4 linked regions of the Drosophila melanogaster genome follow. The protein of the gene in region 4 purifies or fractionates together with the protein of the main gene of each other region. This does not show direct contact. Each region holds a gene or a part of one and is shown on either strand. Other genes may lie near its edges. The genes, in order: Idh3g, Mf, CG6330 and TpnC4.

Region 1 (5,429 bases), on a different chromosome or scaffold from region 4:
GCACTGGTGCGTTATCGCCACAGTCTGTTTGTTTAAGTGGATGTACATTTGTTTAATTTATGCATTTGGGTGTACACAGGTCTACGCCATGTCACGTAGTCGCTGTCGGAATTCCTGGGATTGCCTAAAGAGCAGGAAGGCTCCGCGAAGTGGATACATCAATGTGGATGAGGAGGATTCCGATGTGCCCATGGACTGCGGAGATGAACTGGGAGATCAAAGGACTACTGCTACTCTCCTCACTGGTCGCCTCCACATTCAGGATGTCAGTGAGCTCGTGACAATGTCCCAATACAATCACAGCCCTTTTTCTTCCACAGGGAGCGAATAACGCCTCCAATGCCTAGTGAATCTCAAAAGTCTTCCATACACTTTATTGTCCACGTTGTCTTCAAACGGTGGTTGTCATCGGTTTAGTTACTACTGCAAACTACGTGCCTCTACTACAAGTACAACGAAAATAACCCTAATTTTAATGATCCGTACTGGTGGCGCCAAGGATTCGCGTCGTCAGGTCGTAGAAGCCAAAGAAGAATGCACCGCCCAGTGTGATCCACAGCACACGCGGCACAAAGCCAGCAAACAGACTGAAAAGTAACATCGAAGTACATTAATAAATGTAATAAATAGTTTTGTAAAGTTAATTTGTGTTTAAATATTAGGACCAGCTTGAGTTGCGTCTAATATGGAAATAATTACCCGCTGAAGCCTCGCTCCAGGTAAATGCCATGCAAAATTCTTCGGGCACTGCGACGTCGGTTGAGACTCTCCCTTTCAGCCAGCATAATTCGGGTTTTGACCACATCGAGCGGCGTAGTTAATCCCGCTGAAATGCCTCCAGCGACAGCTCCACAAAGAGCCACCGAAAAAGGAGTGGAATCGAAGCCGGTCAGGGGAGTCCATTGCAGCTTAAAGTACTCCCAGAGCGGAAACTGTATCAGACTAAATGGAATCTCCCGCATGATAGTGGAACCAAATCCCCTGTACAGACCACGTTTCAATCCCTCAGTGCGATAGGCACGCAGTAGAATTTGCAGGCCGGACTGTTTGTTGCCCTGCAATGTTTGGGAGCGTTGCTTGGCAATCTCCACGGGAACTCGGATCAAGCATGCCAACTATTGGATACAGAGATTCTTCAGATCTAAATACGAGGTGCTCAGTTTTATATGAAATCCTACCACTTCTGCTGCTGAAGCCGCTGCCATGTGAACATAGGGTGAATCTTTGGTTTGGGTGACCGAACTAAGGAACTGCTTTCCGCACTCGTAGGTGCAGAAAAACAGGGCCGCCGTGGGAGCACTTCCTGCAGCCGCAGGAGCGAGTCCTTTGTAGATGCCCCTGAATCCTCCTGCCCGCCAAAAGCCCAGCTCGCTTTGCAGTCGGGTCTTCACTGTATCTATGGGAAACAGCGCTATGTCCACTACCATTCCAGCCACTCCTCCTGCCTAAAACTAATTATTTAAGAACTAACTTTTCATTTAATTTTCATCTACTTACAACAAGTGCATGGAAAAATTTTAATTTATTGACCGGCTCTTGCATTTTGATTGCCACGGACCCCGCGGCCGATTCCAGACCCAATTCCGCTGCCATGTCCTAGAAATGATGTTGGGGCATCCACTTTAAGTCATCCCGTCGGAGTATTAACTAAAGTTGTTTTAGTAAACAAAAACATAAAATGTGGTTGTTAACGTAACAGTCAGCTGCTTTTTGCTGATCTGGCAGGTCTGCAGATAACAGCTGCTTGGTGTAGAGTTGCCAAGATGCTGAAACCATAACAAATAAATATATTCTATGTAAGATATATATTATTTGGTCAAAAGTGTTACTTAAAAAAAGGATGGTATTGAAATGTTAGCTTTTTCACAAAAACACATAATTATAATACATTTTTTTTACACCAAAGTAATTATTTTAAAACCAATACCATTTACTTGACAACCCTGAAAAGCCGTGGTTCTGGGCAAGAGCCAGCAGCACCGTTTTGGCCAAGTGGAATAAAATTGGCTGTGATTTAACTGATAGTAGAATACCAACTGCAGCGGTAGAAAACAATAATCCAAGGATCAAATCATGGCCCTTCGCTTGACCCAGAGATTGCTGCAGACGCAGACGCCGTTCCTCACTCGCGTAAGTTTTCTCGGCCGGAAAATTGGCCCACAAAGGCAAATTACATAATGCGCGCCTGCCAGATCCTATTGATCGTACTTATCGATTCGAATTGTAGGGCTATCCCTTGCTGGTGACCAAGGAGAAGACCGAGGATGTGGCCCACACCAAATCGGCGCTGCAGAAGAAAGTCACGGTGAGTGCAACCTCTGGAGCTCACCCCCAATTGAGGTTATAGCATCCGTATATATCTTCGTGAACAGGGCACCGATATTCCCTCGGCACAGTACGGAGGTCGTCATGCCGTCACCATGCTGCCGGGCGGCGGCATTGGTCCTGAACTGATGGGCTATGTGCGCGAGATCTTCCGGTATTGCGGTGCACCCATCGATTTCGAGGTGATCGACATCGATCCCTCCACCGAGGGCAACGATGATCTGGACTATGCCATCACATCGATTAAGAGGAACGGAGTGGCACTCAAGGGCAACATCGAGACCAAGTCCCAATCCTTGACCGAAGTCTCCCGCAACGTGGCCATCCGTAACGAGCTGGATCTGTACGTCAATGTGGTGCACTGCAAGTCGTATCCGGGCATTCCGGCCCGCCATCACGACATTGACGTGGTGCTCATCCGCCAAAACACCGATGGCGAGTACGCCATGTTGGAACATGAGTCTGTGCCCGGAATTGTGGAGAGCATGAAAGTGGTGACCGTCGAGAATGCCGAGCGTGTGGCCCGCTACGCCTTTGAGTTCGCCCGCCAAAACAATCGCAAGAAGGTTACCACCATTCACAAGGCCAACATCATGAAGCTGTCCGATGGTCTCTTCCTGGAGGTTGCCAACCGTGTGCACAAGGACTATCCCGAACTGGAGCACAACAACATGATTATCGACAACACCTGCATGCAGTCCGTGTCGAATCCTCACCAGTTCGACGTGATGAACATGACCAATCTGTACGGCACCATCGTGTCCAATGTTCTTTGCGGTTTGATGGGCGGAGCTGGCCTCATATCCGGCAGGAACTACGGTGACCATGTAAGTCTCTTTCTCTTTTGCTTAACCCATAGTCTTTCAGTTTTGTCATATAATTTTAGTACGCCATCTTTGAGCCTGGCACCCGTAACACCGGAACCGCCATTGCCGGCAAGAATATCGCCAACCCTGTGGCCATGATCAGTGCCAGTATCGATATGTTGAACCATCTGGGCCACAAGGAGCACGCCAATGTCATTCAGGAGGCCGTCTACCAGACCATTGTCAACGATGCCATTCGCACGCCAGGTGATCACGTCTCTCGTAGTTATTCAATAAACAGAATCACCTTTATCATCTAAATCTCTTACAGATATTGGCGGCACCAACTCCAGTACCGATGTGGTTGAGAATATACTCAAGATCTTGAGTGCCAAGCGCGTGAATTGGTAAAATAATCGTCTGCATTTAGAGTAGTTCTATATGTTCTTTTATTTCGCTGTCACAACCAAGTGTTGTATTTTCTATTAAGTTTTAAGCAAACAAACATCTATCGCTTGTCCCCTTTTACTTCACTGTCGCGATGGGCCCAGCGTAGGCGGGCCTTCTTGTATTATAATTTCATGCTGTTATTGTATTATTTTAATTACTTACTGATTACTTCAGCAGAACTGTAAGTGTTATTGCCGAATTGGCCTAACTGTGTCCTAACCAACCAGCACACCACAGACTTCACTTAATCACTAACTTTTTGGTTGCCTTATATCTTTTAGTTTTAAGTACTTCTTCTTGGGTGACACATGCTCGATTGTCACCTATAAGAGGCTACTTAAAATTTGTTTATATAAATTGGACTTATGTTTAGCAATTGCTTCGTTGAACTATTTTCTATTGTATATTTGTCCTAAGTAGTGCCCCAGTAGAACACACTACCACACACATTCAGTACACACAAGTATGTAGTATTTTCGTTTTGAACGTGTAACCAAATTGTCCTTGTGCAGCTCTAATGAACAAAATTATTCTGTTTTTTCTCCTCTCCCTGAAAATCCAAAAACGCTTTACCGCTCCGCAGGCCACATGGAAACTATTTTAGCCAAATTTAGGCACTATCGCACTACCGAATTCAACCAACTGCTAACAAATTCAGCAAGATAAACCAAATCGAACCAAGTCTAATACAAAAAAAAAAAAAGTCAAAATTTTATTAACCCCACAACTAAGCCAATTTGAGACATCTTGTACCCCAAAGCCAATGCATTCAGCGTTAATGTGATGCCCAGAAAAATCGGTATAATCAAATCGAGGTTGAATTATTCCGCTGCTTAACCCAAACAAAATATGTTACCCCGGCTAAATGTCCATTGTGTGTTCATTCGATGTCCAAGTGTGATAATTCAGGTAATACAAACTCCAAATATTTTTTAGCTTCATTTATCCCCAGGTTCGATTGATAAGATTCTAATCCAGTTTTATCTTATATTCCACAGATTTTCTTGCCGGCCCTATCCAATGTTTTTGCACTCTGAATCTTTCTTTTAAACTCCCTACTGAAAGCTGTATATTTTCTTTTATTTTACTTAATTTCCAAAATACCCTAAGGCAACAGTTCATGAACAACAAGAATAACACACTTTGAGCTCTTCAAAAGCCAAGCAAGTTCCACAAGTAGTCAATCAAAGCGATATTAAATTGTAAATTTTCCAAAAGATTTGTAATATTGAAAAGTTGATTCAAACAAAATGTATTATTCTGTTCGAATATTTATTAGTAAAGGAAAAAGTAAAAAAGACACTGTAACTATTATGTTTTGGATTCGGGCGGTTAAGGCTATGGAATTTGCACTATATTTTAAAATGATCCAGAAGCGAATTTGATATTTTGCCTTATATTTTGAAATTTGTTGATGACTTGGGTCCAAATACCTCTTGTACACTTCCTACTCAAAGTATTCTATATACTTTCATCACCATAGGCACGTTTGTCCCACTTGCACACTTAATAAGAAGGCACAGGATCCACTTCGGTCAGTTTTATCAGAATTACTTCTTTGTTTATTAAACCTTAAAAAAGAGCGACAAATCCAGTAACCACAAGTAGCGAATGGGCAGCTTAGAAACGCAGCTTCTGGAAGAACCACTTGTTCTTGCCCTCCTTGTAGACGGACTCGAACTTGACGCGGGTCTGGAAGCGGTGCGTCTTGCGCTTTACGGGATCCTTCAGGTCCTTGGGCGACAGCTTCTCAAAGCTGATGTCGTGCGCCGTGTAGCGGGTGGGCATCAGATGATTGTAGTTCAGGCTCTTCAGGAAGGGCTTGACCTTGGACTTCTTCTTCAGCTT
Region 2 (4,909 bases), on a different chromosome or scaffold from region 4:
GCTGGGTGTTCGGATTTGGGTGCTTGGGGCTTTTGCCAGTGTGTGAGTGTGTGGAAATTCGGAAAATCGGAAAAGAGAACTTCGGTTTCCGCGCACCGAGGGCCGCCACAGTCATTTGATCCCAGAGCACGCACCGAAAAAAAAAATTGAGTCAAAAATTCCGCTTATATACCTGACTTGATATATAGCGCCTGTGTGTGTTGCCTATATTATTGTCTTCATTTTTTTTATTTTTTTTGTTCATTTTTGAGGCCTTTTGCCAAAATCAACACGACCGAGGCGAAACGAAACGATACGAAACGAAAATTTTCATTGACGTAATTGTATTTGGCCGTTTGGCGCTGTCCATTTTTATTTTTAAATTTATGAAATCATAGCGCTCGCACCAGTTTTCATCTCAAATGAAACGCATAAAAATATGGCGGTTTTGAGATATTCAAGGTGTTGTCAAAAGCTTCAATAGCAGGCAGTGGCGAGATTGCAGTTGTAAGATGATTGTAATGACTCGACTGATTGACTGACTGATTGACTGACTGACTGACTGATTGATGGATGGCGCATCGAAGCGAAGCAGAAAGGCTGAAAGAACTTGTGGCGTTCGGATGGACCGAAGCTTATGTAACCTTGCAAATAACAATCAGGTGATTGCCTTTTTTAATTTTAAATTTTAATTAAAATTTTAAACGTTTTTTTCTAAAAAACTAGATTGAAAGCATTGACATAAACTTTTGAACCTGAATTTCATCTATGTTACTATTCCAGTTTCAAGAATGTTAAAAATATCTTTTAGTTTCATGGCGGATAATTTGTTATGTAAACAATCATAATCATTTATCTATATTATTTGAAATATACTTTAAATGGTAATAACAGGATATCTTAGTTCAATATCCACATTTGCAAGGCCACCGATTTCGGAAGCATTAAGATACAGATACTCGGCTGTGTGAAGCAGTTAGGCGGGAATCGGCTGTAGATAGTACAGTATGTGGTCCGTATATGGTACCAACTTACTTGTTCGGCTGTAGTGATGATCGTAGATGGCACGGGGCGAGTAGCCGTAGGTGTCGCGGCTCACTGGCAGATATCTGTAGCCAGAGGACTGGACGCGCTCATTGGCGGTGGCGGGCTCGTCATAGATGCTCCTGTAGGAGGGCGAGTCCAGGTAGGAGCTGTAGGGACGAGAGGCACGGGGCGCCTCGTGGGCACGGATATCCTCGGAGCCTATAAATAGTTGTTTGGATAACGACGCGTTAGTTCATTGCTTTTCAAATATTTCGGCTATTCTATTCTCACTATTTGGCTCAATGCCAGCGCTGCAGAAATGTATGATTTCTATTCGGTTTCTATCATAGATGCGCCCCCTGTATGTGTATCCTATATTTTAGCCTATTCTTTGTTTAAGGCCTGAGCATATATATTTTACAAATTTCTCTCTATATATTCGAATATACTATGGCGAAAAGCTTTCCCAGCAGAGCGTGTCTAAGTATATAGCTTGGCTGATATGACACCTGCCAAAATAAATAGACTATACACATATAGGCTAAGCTATTTGTGTTGCTCACTGGCGACCAGAGTTTAATAATATCACTTTTGAGTGTCCCTTAATCATATCGAAATGGGAACACTTCGAGTTAATCTTCAATTGTTTTTTGAATTATTTTGGAACTATGCAAACTCCCTACTATTGTGACTAAGCAATCAATAGTAGTTTTGAATAACTATCCTATCTTTTAATGTAATTTTTGAGCTTATTTAGTGAATGCTTACCCTTCAGGGACCTGATGTAGGACTGCCAGAATTTCGCCTTCTTGCTGGGGCTCTCATTGCGCCCAATCATTTCCAAGTGGTTTTTGAACATTTTGATCGATTTGTTTTGTTCTGTTCACGAAAAAATCGTTGAACTCGTTCGCTGTAATAAAGTTGGGAAGAGAGATGGCTTAGCAATTTTCCAATGTGTTTCAAATTTCCTTTCCGCCTATTTTATTTTATTTTTTTTTTTTGTCCGTTTTCAATTTAATCTATTTCCCGGGAAATGCCAGGCAGCACGCACGAATTCGAATCGCTTGTCTCTCGATTGATGGGATGTTTTCTCAGTTGAATTTTTTGCTTTCGCGTTGAAAGTCTCTCGGTTCGAAAATAAACAGACTGTGTGCCACTTTAGAGCAGTGCAAAGTTTATAAAACATATACATAAAATCTAATATAATACCGCGATCGGGCAACAGCAGCTAACGCAAGATCAATCTCACTAAAAATAAATATATTTCGGTTCGGTTTTTGTGATTTTTCATGTATCGTGGTATTCTCCTGGTTGCTCGAATATAAAAATATTTTTTTGTTGCATAGCAAATTTCACACTTCTGAGTATGAGAACAAATATTCTAGGTGTCGTCAGTGTGTGCGTGTAAATGGGTGAGTGGATGTAAGTGTATCTGTGTGTAAGCTGCAGCTAAATTGGGTTTTATTTTTAAATGTCCTTGAGTTGAAATCGTTCTGTTATTCTGGCTTTTAGCGGAATTTACTTAAGTATCGAAGAAGTGTGCAAAGTCTAAGAACAATTTAGTTGAAGTATGTTTAAAATAGGCCTTTATTATCCATTAAACTAAATTAATTTTGAATTTAATTCAATGTGGGATTTTTGTTTTTTATATTTCACTGCACAAACTCTTGATGAGCTCCAACACTTCGGTATCAAATGTCATTGAGTACGATCTCTCTTATATAATTATAGTCAATGTCTTTTCGCTATGGAACATATCGGATCATTCATAATGCGATCATAATTCCATAATTATTTCACCAGTTAATTGTTCGTCTCCACATTCAGATGTGATGGTGCACTTTATTTAATTTGATTTTATTGTTTTTCATTTCGTTTATAATTATTTAATTTACTATTCAGTTGTATGTTGTTTAATATGTTTCGGGTTCGCTTACAATTTAAATTTACTCCTAAAAAATAGCGATCTATCCTCAACGAAGAATTTTTTCAAACTGCAAACCCCAAGAAAATTCGCCTCACCAATTTTCCTCGTTTCAGAATTTTGCCATTCCGTTTCGGCACCAAAAGCACGGCGCATTCCTTTACGGCGTAGGTTGCTCTATCCGTGAGCGATTTTCATCGCATCTGTGTGGCAAAGCTCCGGAGATTGGTTATGGGAAAGCTTTCCCACCACATTCTGATAGATCGTGTGGTGGCACCCACTCATTGTTTGCAACGATTCAATACCGAAATCGCGATGACGCTGGCGATGATCATAAAAAGAAAGCCAGCCAAGTCATACCACACATACACAATACATATGAGCCCATATTTCTTTCAGAAAATCCCACACCCTATTTTCTGTTTTTGTTTTTCCTATGGTTTTTCATAATTTTAACATATTCTTTGAATGTTTCAAGGGAAAGGCGTCACTTGTGGTATTGAATTGATCAGTGAACTATAAGCTCTAACTAATACATTACAATATTTGGTTTTTTGTAACTAACTAATTCAAAATGTGGTTAGAGGCCGATGGAATTTTTGCCATAAAAGCATTTAAATTCCGTTTATTTGTTTATGTTTTCTTTTGGCTTTGGCATTAGCTATAATTTAGTTTCCTGATAATGGAAAAATCATTTCCAGCAACATGCCCACACAGGTAAATAAACAAAACTGGTCCAGATACATTTAACCAAATAATAGATACTTTAAGCACACAATATATTATTTATAATGAAATCTGTATGAATAGTTTGATATTTTCTAGCTTGTTATGTAAAATTTGCCGTTAATTGATTATTTAAAACATTAGTAACTCATTTTTTTCGATTATACCCTCCTGTAGGGTATATCTTTTTTGCTCACGTGCGACCCAATGATTGATAATCTAAACACAAATTTTCCAGGGAAATTCCTACGAAAACGAATAAACAAAGATGGGTAAAGCTTCCCCCATCATATACAATTACATCGAAACGAGTTGAAGGGCAGATCTGGGAGTACATATGTTTCTAATAATAGTAAATACATTCATGGAGATCATGTTGACCTTTTCAATCGTGCAGATCGCTTACAGAATTTCCTGCATGTGTTTTCTTTTTCCGCCGATAAACTCAAGGCCAAATGCACTTGCATCCAAATGTTCTTTTGACTTTGTTTGTTTAGCTTATATAAATCTTGTTTGTGAATTTTACCCTTAAACAGGCGGGCGGCGTCATTTAAACTTGAACTTGACTTTGAATGAACCGAATGCGGTTTGATGAACCAAATCGAAAATCAAATGAAAATGCACAAAAACTCACGGGAAATTGGGAAATACCTGGCAAAGGTTTTTCTTTCGGCCAATCAGTGATTTCGGTGATGTGATTCAACTTTTACTTTCTGGCACACTTTTTTGGCTTCACAGAACAATGAATTGAGCAACTTTTTATTTTACTTTCGTTTTTTTTTCAGGTTTTTCATTTTAATTTATTTTAGTTTATTGGCGCTTGATTGTGTTTGTTCCAACATCTTTGATGTTTTGCTCAAGGAGACACAAAAATTGGCTAGGAATTGCATACCCTTAAAAGGAATCTCAAATAAAATTTAGTTATTTTAAAAATATTTTAATTGGCCTAGCGGCTTACAAAATAATTATCTTAGAGAAATTTATGTCCCTTGGGAAATGGGGTCAAAATGTAAGCTCATTATTTAGAGGGCACATATGCAAGCAACGTCAAACAATTTGCTTTCGCAAATTCGCCATATTTTATATCGCAGTTTATACCCAAATTAATTGCAAACTGCATTTAATTTCAGATGAGGAGAGCAGACATTTAGCTGTCAGAAAGTCAAATGCACTGTGAATGCATATAAATTATATACATATTATTACTTTCGCACTTGGTGTGTAATAAATTGCTTTCTCAATGTGAAGGACGAT
Region 3 (5,427 bases), on a different chromosome or scaffold from region 4:
AAATATATACATATGTAATGCAAATAAATAATGGAAAAATAACTGTTTTGGTATGATCTTTTAGCCACCAAAAAATGAAATCGCGTTAAGTGGTTTGTATAATTTAATTACAATTTCTTTTAATATACCGTTGAAATATTTGTCATAAATTTCGTTTTTTTACAATATAACTTGTATATTTGGTTTTATCGTGTGCTATCCGTAATTGTATTGATGTTATTTTCAGCATTTTGTTCTTCATCGTATTGTTTTCATTTAATTTGGATATAACTAGACAGAGAAAGATTAAGTGCTGTTGGATTTGGTTTAGAGTCGAGTGTACGGTAGCAACACTAATCAACACGTACATTTAACAAATCTTTAGGAATTTCAATACATTATAATATAATAATTTATAAAATGGAAATGTAGCATTTAGTTTTGTTTGGTATTGTTGAATCTTTGCTTAATAGATTAGCCCCATTTAAAATATGCAACATAACAATTAACAATTTCATAATTCTTCTATATTATTCGTTATTTGTTTTGTGATCTCAAAAGCGTTTATTTCTGATAACCTTTGAACGTCACACTCAGTGATACTATTTTTATATATTATTGATATACATATATATATTAAATTGTGGTAACATATGAACATATGCACGTACAATATGATCGGTTTTAAATTATCCGATGAGGTTGTGGGCGATATACACAGAAATAAAGCTAGGAACTTAATCAGAGCTAAACTAGGGAATGTTGAAACATCATTGTATACTGGAGAGATGCGCACATATAATGTAAGAAGGTGAAATGAGATGGAACTGGTCACATGATCCCATTTACTCGTGGGCCTGAGACTCCTGCTGGACGAGCTTGAAGCGCCGGGGTGACTTGATGGATCCCTGGTGTCCGAATAGCGCCTTCAGCTGTCCATTGTGCGTAAGGACCTTGCGAATATAGCGCGACACGAGGATCTGCGGACGCTGTTTGGGTGAAAAATCATATGTTCAATTACATTCCATTGAGAGGGGGAGTTAGTCGGGATCACCCACCGCTTGCCACTCGTTCATGACCTCCTTGGGCGCGTTGACCTGATCCCCATTGAGGCGGTTCAGCAGGGCGACACACACCACCGCTGCCTTGATGCCGGCATGGTGGGTCAGGGCCGCAAAGATGGTGCTCTCCATCTCGATGTTGACCACGCCGTTCTCGCGCAGCTTCTCCAGATAGGCCATCTTCTCGTTCTCGCTGAAATCACAGAATGCGCCGTCCAAACGACCCTGGCCCTCGTAGAAATCGTTGGTGCACAGCGTCTTGCCAATAATGGTATCGTACGGATCATCGGGACTGGCCAGGGACTTTAGCTCACGGGCCAGCTTTTTGTCCAGCTTGGCAGGACGATGGATGGTCTTGCCGAGAATGGTCTGCAAATCAAGTGTTTAGGGTCATCTATCGCATTTGAGGTGATATTTCAGCCACGACTTACAAACTCATGGGAGTTCCTCAGCTGCCCATCGAGGGCATCTTCGGTGATGATGACGGTGCCGCCGTCGACGCCAATTCCTCCGCACGTTCCTATCCTGATGAAGACGGGATCCTTGCACTTGGCGTGGTACATCAGCTTGATCATCTCATGCATCAGGATGCTGACCGAGGGCGTACCCATGCCATGGCTGACGCACAGCACCGGTCCCACTTTGTACATGGAGTAGCGATACGAATAGGCGCTGATGTCCTGCAGCTGGGTGCCCGCTGGCAACTTGTAGCCAATCTCGTTCATTATGAAATGGGCAAAATTCTCCATGCGCTTTGGTGTGCCGCCCATGCAAACGAACTGAAAGTCAAAGACAGACACGGATTAATTGAGTGAGCTTTTAGAAGGGGAATAACCGGCATTGTGTTTCAGATTTGTAAATTACTAATACCGCTGGTATTGCAATCTATGACTATATAATTATTTATATAAAACATACCCTTAATTGTAAATCGCAAATCGAACCAGTACTAGATTAGCACATTGATATATTTATTAAGTTTATGAATCTGACTAAGCATATAATTAGCTTAATTGGCAACAGCTAATGAACTCGTTTCGCTTGTGCCCCACTTGATTTGATAACAATCAAGGTCTAGGTCTGGGTCTAGTCTTTAACCGCCTCAGACTATGAATAATTCAAGAGACCACTCACCTTAACGTCGCCAAACATCTCCTGCAGGTCGTGGCTCTCGCTGCCCAAGGCCAGGTGATAGAGGATATCCTGGTCCATGAGCTCAATGTTCGAGTTGCGCAATTTGACGGTTCCATCGGAGTACCTGCAATTAAAGCGAATGCAAAACGAATTAATGAGGATTAAATTCTATTCGCCGCCAGCGGGGGCCATAAATAAACGCCCACTTCAGGCCAAGAAATGAATGAGTTAATTACTTTCAGCTGTCAGAAGTAAATCACACTTAAAAATGCTCGTTTTCTGATAAAAGATAAGTTTATCTAAGTGTTTCCTAGAAAATCGGTGGCCGAACAAGCCCCCCAAAAGTGTAATCAGTTGGGATGGGCAGGAAGAAATTCGTCATCGCTGGAATAATTATTTATTTTTTAGGTAATGCTTAGCAAAAACACATTGTTATGAGCTAATTTTTATGAAATATACATTACTTATACACACAATTTTGTCACACAATCGTGAGTAAGCACTATTCGAGTATTTAATGGCCACAAAATGACAGATTCAAATTTCGTATTTCTAATCAATATTTGGATCAGAATTGATTCGTGTATTAGTGACTTTATTTATAGAGACCCCCCTTGCGATGTAGGGGGTCTAGAGAGCACCAATACCCAACCAATATCATTATCAAGTGCGTCAAACGGGGAGTCGGAAAAAAAACATGTTAGAAGTGTGAGCAAAACAAAAAGCAAAATGTCTATGACTCTAGCATAATCAAATGAAAACCCCGTGTAGTCTTGACCTTGATTGATAAGCGCGAAGTGAATATATTTCGTAAGCACTCCGGCAAACATCCGATTGAAGCATAAATTATGATTTGATGAGCTCGGAAATCGGATAGGATGAAAAGTGATCTTTGAAATGAATACAGGGTAATCGAGTAGGCGTCACACCCACCGGTCTGTGCAAATATTGTGCCAACTGGCCAAGCGTTCTGTTTTCCATTGGCGTTCTTTGCTCAGATGAAGAGCTGGTTTTGTGCCAACACAGCGATTTGACATCAGGCAAACTATAGACTGCATTGCAGATGGATTTTGATTTGCATTTGTTTTCATTTTTCAATAGAAAACGGCTGTTATTTGTTGCTAGCAAACAGAGAAATTTCCAGAGCAACTTTCTCGCGCCAAATGAAACAACCCCCGGCTGACTTAAGAAGCAGCTGCAGGACCAAAAACCGGTTTCAGCATCCTTACCGCGTTATCCTTTTCACGTACGCATCGTCCGTCTCGTCGTCCTGCAGCGAGGACCTGTGGGCGCAATCGTAGTGGGCCTTAAAGTCGTGCGTCTGATTATCGGTTATGGTGGGCGGCATGATGTCACCTCTCGAATGTCCTTTAACTCACAAACGAACTACCAACTACCAGACGAAGGAGCAGCCAGCGAGCCAAAACAAAACTAGTTACTCGTGTAGACACGTCAACGCTTCGAGCGAGACTGAAAAAATTTCTTGCGTTTCGCCGGCCTTTATATAGGCCGCTTCTGCTGAGCTGTGTAGATAAGACAATCTTCTCGGCGAATCGGAAGTTATGCTGCGCAATTTGATAGTGGAAATGAAAATATATTGCACACTGTATGGTCGTGTAATAGAAACCTCTATAGAATGGCATACATACATACATAGATACAGATTGTTATCAGTTCAGAGCGACTTATGCATCACTAATCAAGTGCAATTGGCCACGAGCCTTGAGGCGAAATTGCAGCCGAGCATAACGGATTTGCGTAATCCAATTATTGCAATTTCGCTGCTTTATTCGCTGTATGAACAGGGTGTTCGATCAGGTCCAATTAGCCGAATCATTAGTATAACATTTCAACTTTAAATTCATGCAAATTGGCTTGGAATTTTTGGTTTTGTATATTTTAAACGGGTTTTTGAGATACCTATTTCGCTACACATTCTTCAACTCTGATATTTGCAAATTAGATGCAAATAAGACCAATTCGGTTAATTTATTTTTAATGTTGCCCACAATTGGCAACTATTCGCATGAAACTAGGCACCCTGTGATCGTAACTCAAAGTAACTCTACAAAAAGAAATATTTCGCCATGGACAAGAATGTGAGCAGCGCAACTACCACTATTGTAGGCCCAGTCACCAGTGCGTCATCCGATGTCGGTGGCTTTAATTTCGAAGTCAGGCCATTAAATATACATAAACAGACGACAGCGAAAGACAAACGAAAGAGGAGCTCATTGCCCACACACAGTTACTCCTGCACTCACACTGGCAAGCAGAAAGCGAAACAATCAGCAAAGAAAAGAGGGAACTTAAACAAACAGAAAGAAAAATAAATAAAAACGGGTAAGGCTATAAGATAACTTGTACCTTTTACATACATTACAAAAACGATTTTTAAACTGTTGACATCTAAATTTATTTATATATTATATATGCATATATTATTATTATATATACGCATATATAGTACAACGTCTTGTGGTGCTACAATAGTGCAATATACCCGACAAACGCGCAAGTACCAGGTATTAAAAAAAAGAAAAGAGCAAAAGGCAAAAACAAAGCTCAGTCAAAAGCAGTCGAAAAGGGGGCTCGGCTATGTTGGCATAGCAATTCACAAGAGGGAAAGAGAACCAGACAGAGACAGGGAGGCAAGTAATAACAGAGACAGAGAGAGACAGCGCGATTGCAATAGAAAGAGAGGTTGGCTTCTATGTACGTGACGCGGCTCACAATTTGGTTTTTGAGGTCGCATTTTGGCGGTGAGCAGAGTGCGGCAGCGGTGGAATTCACTTAATGGCCATACTCGTAATTAACTTGGCCGATTCCCCGTAACTACCATTGATGGACTTTGCCAGCTGCAAAGCCAAATAAAAATCGTTGTTTATATAAGCCAAAACTATGCGAGACTTGCTGTGATATTCGTTTGAATGGGCAGTGAAATAAAGAAAACTCATTAACCAACACAAATCATGAAAAGTGGTTCAATAACGATATTCGAGTTTGTTTTCGTCATATCATCGCTAAAGTGCTTCTTGAGGTACCCTTTGTAATTTGAGATGAGTACGCAATCGTGGCCATTTCAAGTCGTTTCTTTGGGTCATTCCACTTGGTTGGTTACCATGGGTAAGCTTGACTGTCACTGGCAGCAACAAATGTCACTGCCATGGATCTAGTCTTTTCATTGTGAGCTCAAGCACTTGATCTATTTATGGGTAACCCAGTACGTCTTAGGATATGGCAAGCTAGAACA
Region 4 (6,778 bases):
ACTTATGTCTACTAGTGTATGCTACTGCTCACATGACGGCGATGCTTGCATGATTTTCGCAAGTTCATCGAAATTCCGTATTGCATTTCGAGAACTGCACGCCACTGTTCCCTCGGAAATCGCAGGGTGCGGCCAAAGACACTATTCTAGTGTCTTTGGTGCGGCACAGATCCCACTTTTGATATCGGCTCATAAGGATTTTGAGTGTTGTTGTACATCTTTTCTGTAAAATGTAATCTATTTTGTAAGGCTGAGGTATCAACGAGTTCTTCTATCTGCTTTGGCTTCTAACCAACAACTGACGCTCTCGCCTCTAGCATGGTTCATTTCCTTTTCTCGTATCTCTTTCGCACTTTAACCACGTTCAGCAACAGCACTATCGGTCACGCTCTAACACATTTATTCCCAATCTCAGATAATTTGTCGCTTTATTCCCATACATTGAAAATAAATGAAATAAGTTAAGCATCAAAGAACGCAAGGAGAAGAGGAAACAGTACAGCCTTGCCACACCTGTTACTTTACCACATATGTTCATCCGTCTGTTCGTACATCGGCCTTATCTGCTTTTGGCCCGATATTTGTTTATATTTAAATTAGATAAGAGAAAAATGATGCTAATACATTTCAATCAAATTTTATTTATAATATTTGACACAAAACTAATGGCTATTATTGTTTTATGTATTTTTGATTTTGCATTGTCTGCCATATCTGAGCTTTTGCACAGCATGTCAAAAAAGAGCAATGTGGGTCAACCTGGAAGAGAAAAGTTTTAGTGTTTATAAAAATATTTATATTTATATAACGAAATATAAGGATAAGGAACGAAATATTTGAAATTACAAGAGAGAATGCTATAGTCGAGTTACCGGACTATCAGATACCCGTTATTCAGCTAGTGGAAGGGAAAATGGGAATTTTCATAATTTTTCTGGCATATCGATAGAATTAGATAGAGAATAATATATTAAAAATATTAAAAAATTTAAAAAAAGGTGGGCGTGACAGTTTTGGTCGTTTTATAGGTGCTAGAAGGGGCGTCCAAAATTGTTTGGTATAATCAAAAAATTTTTCAAAAGTGTGGGCGTGGCAGATTTGTGAAGATTGGGTATTGGCATATCAATAGAAATTAATAAGACGTATACAAAAATGAATAATATAAAAACATTTTAAAAAGTGTGGTCGTGGCAGCTTTGATTTGCTTGTGGGCGTAAAAGTAGGCGTGGCAAAATTGAGAAACAACCTTGCACTTCGTCTATGTCTCAGGAATCTTAATCTATGTCTTAAAAATATGTTGATATTTTATAACATTTTATTTTATAAAATATATAATAAAAAAATATATATATATAAAATTCAATTTTGTCGCGCCTCTAACGCCACACACACACTTCTTAAATGTGTTGAAAATATACCAAAAACATGTTGTCCACGCCCAATCGGTAGCTTATTCGGGCGGCAAATATATAACATCCATATATGGAGGCATATTTATTGTTTTTAAATTTATCAGCTGAGTAACGTGTATCTGATAGTCGAGGCACTGGACTATAGCATTCTATAATATCATGTTTTTTCTACCAATTTTTATCGGTGTCATTTTGTCATCTGCCTTCTAGTCGAGTTACTGGACTATCAGATACTCATTACTCATTTAGTGGGAGGGGGAACGAAAAATGTTGACACTTTCTTAGCAAATCTATAGAAGTTTACAAAGCAATTAATGCGTCGCCAGGGTAGGGCAGGGGGAGCAGCTTCCCTCCCCCCCTCTGGACCTAAAAGGAATGTTCCAAGAAATTTCATAATTTGCTGCCTATTACGTAACTTCCAGTTGTTTATTTACACTATGTACCGTTCTTATTCTCTTAGTCAATCTGCCTCCAATTCTATCGATAGGTGCTTTCACTAAGAGTTTCCAGTGTTGGAAGATGAATTCTGGTCAAAAATATATGTAACTAAACGGGCTCTGTTTGAAGACAAATACTTCTGCGACGTCATTTTATTATCATAAACGACAGTCTCTCAGTTTTTGTCTGCCTACTTGCTCTTCTGGCTTGTTTCAAACTTCAACATTCGGTACATCTAACTTGCTATTCGGCACGAACTCAGATATGGTGGATGTTTTTAAAGGACCGGACATTCACCATCGCCAACCTTGTCTACATTTCTTTCTTTACTTTTTACTTCTTTGTATGGACCTTGACATTACCCTTTAATCTCAAGCCAACTCCATATTGAGTCTGATCACAACAAGCCAGTTTACTTTGATTTGATCAGTTTGATACTTTACTGACTTTCACTCTTTCTCATTGATGTTTCACTTTACGCTCTTTGTTCAACTGATCTCTTAATGTAAGGTGATCAACACTCAAGTCAACACCCGGTTTTTGTTATGCATCCCTCTATTCCTATTTGCCAATGAACATTTGGCACGTCAGTAAATAATATTGATTCCTTTTGTACCAAATGTTGCATTTTGCATGTTGTATAAAAAGTGGCACGGTAAAGCAGCGATTAACGCAACCCTACAAAAACACGAGGTATTGGATGTAACAGAGGATTCTCCCCAGAAGCGGAGATGTTTAGGGACATACATTCGGACATGCCCATATGGATCAGAATCGATCACAGGAATCGTGGTCCTAAGAACCTTAAACCCGGAAAAGCTTAAAGAAAAGACCCTACGTTGGATCCCAGCCATTGCCATGCATATGCGTGGCACGCATACCCAAAAAAAAAAAAATATATGTTATAATATTTTTAAATTTGTAATAAGCTTGACAATTTCTATCGATTTGCCAAAAAACTTTTTGCCATCAGCACTTCAACGCCTACAAGCCGCTCAAACTGCCACGCCCAATTTTTTTTTTTCATTTTTCTTTAGGATTTCATAACTGGACTGTGGTCTTCTCTCTTGTCTTAGGTATAGAGACCTTAGCACACTTAGTTTTTAATCGTCTAACGGCATAAGCAACATTTTACGGTCATAACTGATGTTGCTTATGCCGTTATGTTGACGATTAAAAACCAAGTATAAAAAAAAAACACATCCTTACAAGGCAATACGATAATAAATCGTTTAATAGAAAATGTTTTGGTGGACAGGAATTATTTTAGAAAAACGGGCGCCGTTTGCGTAAATTTTATATTATGAATTTATAATTTATGCAATATATGCAATATCAATTGTAGTCATACAAGTTGATTATTTTTTGCACGTGGGTGGTATCGTCACTTCACCCTTAAACGGCAAACCGTAAAGAAGGTCAGAATAATATTGTTTTGTTTGAATGTGTTTTTTTACATAGGTGGAACTAATATTTGTTTAAGGGTATCATGTATTACCTGTCATAACTTGCATGAATTCTGCAATGAAAACGTTATTATTGAATGTTTGATTAATTATATTAAACTACTTACCGTCAAAATCAACCGTACCGGATCCATCCGCATCAATTTCTTCTATAATCATATCTAAGTCTTGGTTAGAAAGCTTATCGTCCAATTCGTGAAGAATGCCTCTTAGTGTTGCAACTGTCAGGTATCCTTTCCCCTCTTTATCATATACACGGAAGGCCTCTTTTAACTCATTTTGAAGAGCTCCCACATCTTCCTCAACTTCAATAAAGCGAGCTGCCAGTTTGCAGAACTGGCTAAAATCCAATTTACCAGTTGTTCCTTTATCGACCTCTTTAATAAGGGCCTTTACCGCAGGTGGTTCTAATTTCTGACCCAAAATTTCAAGAATGCTAGATACATCAGCATGTTCGATCGATCCTGCACCGTCGTGGTCGAAAGCCTTGAAGGCGTTCCTAAGGACTAATACGTCGTTTTTTAAATAGTAAATAAAAGTTTAATTTTATACTACTTCTCAATTGTTCCTTGTCGTATTCTCCATCGGCCTGAAAGAAGTATGGATATATAATAAAATCTTTAAGATAATGAACTATATGTTCATGTCAGCCTGGTGTCTACAAGAGTAATGTCATAATTATACTCGTTTGGTGGACGGGTATGTTGTATTTCCAAAAATATATTGCATACAGATGCATGTCTTTCATGCACAAAAAGGGTACGTTTTCTTATGTGCATTTTTTGTAACGAAGTCAACTTTTGCTCGGTAGCCCGTCTGTCCGTATGCAACTGATTTACCATAAATGTTCGAAGACTCTACTTTAGCGATGTAGAACAATATATCCCTTATATGTATGGCTAGATCGACTCGGCTATTGTTCCTGATAAAGAATGTATGTCTATGCTTTATGTGGTAGAAATCGCTTCCTTCTGCAAGTTACATACTTTTTAACGAATAGAGTATACCCTTTTACTCTACGAGTAACGGGTAGCGGGTGTTATTGCAATAAATACTAAGTTAATGATAAATTAAAAAATTTTAAGGTAATATCTTCTTCACTGTCTGGTTATTAAAATCCACATAGCGCACGTTGTCGTCTACATTTTAATGTTTTGAAAATGATCTGCAGATTAACGGCAGTGATGACAATTAAGTTCCTATTTGTCTCATACGTAGATAGACACTATCTATATCAAAAAAAAAAATATATCAAAAATCACTTTCCCTTGACAGCTTATTTCCAACCACTTTACAAACTTAATACTTTATACTTTATCGCTTGTGGAATTTATATTTATATAAATTGTGTTTTTTCATAGCAAGGGTAAATAATTATATTTATATTTATATTTAGTCAACAGTAAATTTTATATAAAAAATTCAGAATGTGCTCCATTAATTTTTAGTTTAATCAAAGTTATAATATCGTAACTTACCATTTTAAAGAGTTTTTTTTTGTTAAATCAAATTACACCGCTAAGGTTTAGGAAAACCCTTTAAATATAATATAAAAATACTATATTACTATTACTATACGATATTTTTGATAATCTAAAAAGTGTCCCAGAAGAGGAGCTAAAGAAACAGGGTACGCTACTTTCAATTATCACCAAGCTTTTAAACAATTCGATTTGTGTTTTATGTTAGCTAAGTTCATCGGCAATGGAAAATGCCAAAGCTTTTCCGAACGAACGCTAACAATAAAAATGTAAGCGACTACATCTGTATACAAACGGCTAAATTTTCATCCTAATCGATGATAAGGAAATAAGAGCAAGAAGCGCTCGAAGAGTAAGGGTGGTCTTTATGCCGAAACTTTTATTCCTTAAATTGTAAAAGCAATAATCCAATTAAAAATTTTTATTTTTTAGTTTATATAAAATTAGAAATTTAAGTATTTTTGATACCATAAAGGCAACATATTTCTTAAATTAATGATTTACCATAACACTTAATCTATACGGGAAATAACAAACATTTTCTTTGACAGTTCAACCATAAATATTACGCGGAACTTATATTTTTAAGCGTTCCTCGTTGCACAGTAATATTTATATCTTTAAGATATCTTTACTTACTGAATCAAGCTTCCTTTCCTGTTACTGTTTCTTCCTAATCTACCTAATCAAGAGAAATGCGCGATAATTGATGAGTATCAAAATGTACCATTGCATATATTTTACCGAAGTTGGTGCATTCATCACGTAGTGTCAAAATGGGGTGAAAGCTATTTATATTTTATTAATTTAGTGAAAGTTGTTAATTAATATGATTTTATCGTAGATAAAGTACTTCACGAAACCAATTTTACCTTCACACTTTCAAAAATGTGTGATCTCATTGTTTGTTATACCCGTTACTCGTAAAGTAAAAGTGCTAGTTTCGCTGAAAAGTAGCGTTTCCGACCATATAATGTATGTATGTATATATTCTTGATCAGGATCAATAGCCGAGTCGATCTGACCCTTTCCGTCTGTCGAGATTACCATTCCAGAGACATAGACGCAGCGCTAGTTTGTTGACTCACGCTAACGCCCTCAAGCCGCCCAAAACTGCCACGCCCACACGTTAGAATAATGTGGTACACAGCCTACATCTCGTAGCAGATGACATGGAGGGGACTGCTGGGCCTATAGAATCGTTCCCAAGGCAGGCACTGTCGCATTCTACAAGGAAGACGCCCAGTGAAAGACAATAGTTCCATCATGGCTTTTAATTATTGATGGTTGGACGGTCTGTGAAAACGAATTTCTGTCTTATACGGTGAAATAGCCAATGGCTGGGCTTTTTAGGCTTACGTTGACGCTATGACCGTTATGACTTGTCGCTCCGAAACTTGATTTACGTGGCGTCTCTCACATTGACAAAGTTACAACCCACAAGTGGGCCAATGATGCATGTGCCTAAGCACTCTTTTCCAATGGCCCTAAAAGCTACGTATAGGTAGGTACATATATAGCGATGTACAATTAGCAATTTGAATGGAGTATTACAGTTCAAGTTCTGCTGGAGCTCCAAAGTGTGATTATTTGGCAATGGTCCGTCATCTTACACCTCAAGAAAATATTAACCGAAAAACTGCTAGGAAAGACAACAGATCTGATCTTAAATACGCCTGCAGATGAGCGGAAGGGCAGTTTGTCCCCTGATCCTATATAATGTAATCAGTATTTCACGCGTTTTCGATTCTATAGAGTATATACATTCGTGATCAGGATCACAAGCAAAGTCGATTTGGCCATGTTCGTTTGTCTGTCCATATAGAGTTGTGGTTAAGCATTACATTTTAAGCAGTATTATTTTAATTTAAAATGCTTGCCAACCCCGTTTCGGGGTTTGTAGTCCCAAACTGCCCGGCGCACACATATGAAAAATTGTTGAGTTCTTTTCAATGTCTTTTGCCCACAAACAGCGCAAAAC

Evidence for each region.
Region 1: the proteins of TpnC4 (region 4) and Idh3g purify together in Drosophila melanogaster (affinity purification with mass spectrometry, with the first as the bait; one large-scale study listed by BioGRID). This does not show direct contact.
Region 2: the proteins of TpnC4 (region 4) and Mf purify together in Drosophila melanogaster (affinity purification with mass spectrometry, with the first as the bait; one large-scale study listed by BioGRID). This does not show direct contact.
Region 3: the proteins of TpnC4 (region 4) and CG6330 purify together in Drosophila melanogaster (affinity purification with mass spectrometry, with the first as the bait; one large-scale study listed by BioGRID). This does not show direct contact.

What each region holds. Positions count from the first base shown.
Region 1 is NT_033777.3:25,678,894-25,684,322, forward strand, and holds Idh3g (isocitrate dehydrogenase (NAD(+)) 3 non-catalytic subunit gamma), read left to right. Parts: upstream 1-1,951; 5' UTR 1,952-2,073; coding exon 2,074-2,130; intron 2,131-2,227; coding exon 2,228-2,305; intron 2,306-2,372; coding exon 2,373-3,152; intron 3,153-3,211; coding exon 3,212-3,398; intron 3,399-3,462; coding exon 3,463-3,538; coding exon of another isoform or gene 3,539-3,542; exon of another isoform or gene 3,543-3,980; intron 3,981-4,164; coding exon 4,165-4,195; 3' UTR 4,196-4,490; intron 4,491-4,579; coding exon of another isoform or gene 4,580-4,580; 3' UTR 4,581-4,887; downstream 4,888-5,429. Other genes in the region: CG5039 (uncharacterized protein), read left to right, coding at 1-6, 80-265, 321-347; CG4743 (uncharacterized protein), read right to left, coding at 473-587, 700-1,115, 1,179-1,445, 1,498-1,593; RpL27 (ribosomal protein L27), read right to left, coding at 5,202-5,429.
Region 2 is NT_033777.3:15,177,266-15,182,174, forward strand, and holds the start of Mf (myofilin), read right to left. Parts: upstream 3,006-4,909; 5' UTR 2,943-3,005; intron 2,086-2,942; exon of another isoform or gene 2,057-2,085; intron 1,916-2,056; 5' UTR 1,865-1,915; coding exon 1,774-1,864; intron 1,225-1,773; coding exon 1,015-1,224; coding exon of another isoform or gene 956-1,014; exon of another isoform or gene 1-955.
Region 3 is NT_033777.3:26,949,601-26,955,027, forward strand, and holds CG6330 (uncharacterized protein), read right to left. Parts: upstream 3,655-5,427; 5' UTR 3,523-3,654; coding exon 3,404-3,522; intron 2,299-3,403; coding exon 2,175-2,298; intron 1,820-2,174; coding exon 1,472-1,819; intron 1,410-1,471; coding exon 1,038-1,409; intron 969-1,037; coding exon 825-968; 3' UTR 523-824; downstream 1-522.
Region 4 is NT_033778.4:5,502,890-5,509,667, forward strand, and holds TpnC4 (troponin C isoform 4), read right to left. Parts: upstream 4,978-6,778; 5' UTR 4,798-4,977; coding exon 4,795-4,797; intron 3,906-4,794; coding exon 3,872-3,905; intron 3,823-3,871; coding exon 3,424-3,822; intron 3,370-3,423; coding exon 3,349-3,369; intron 760-3,348; coding exon 755-759; 3' UTR 548-754; downstream 1-547.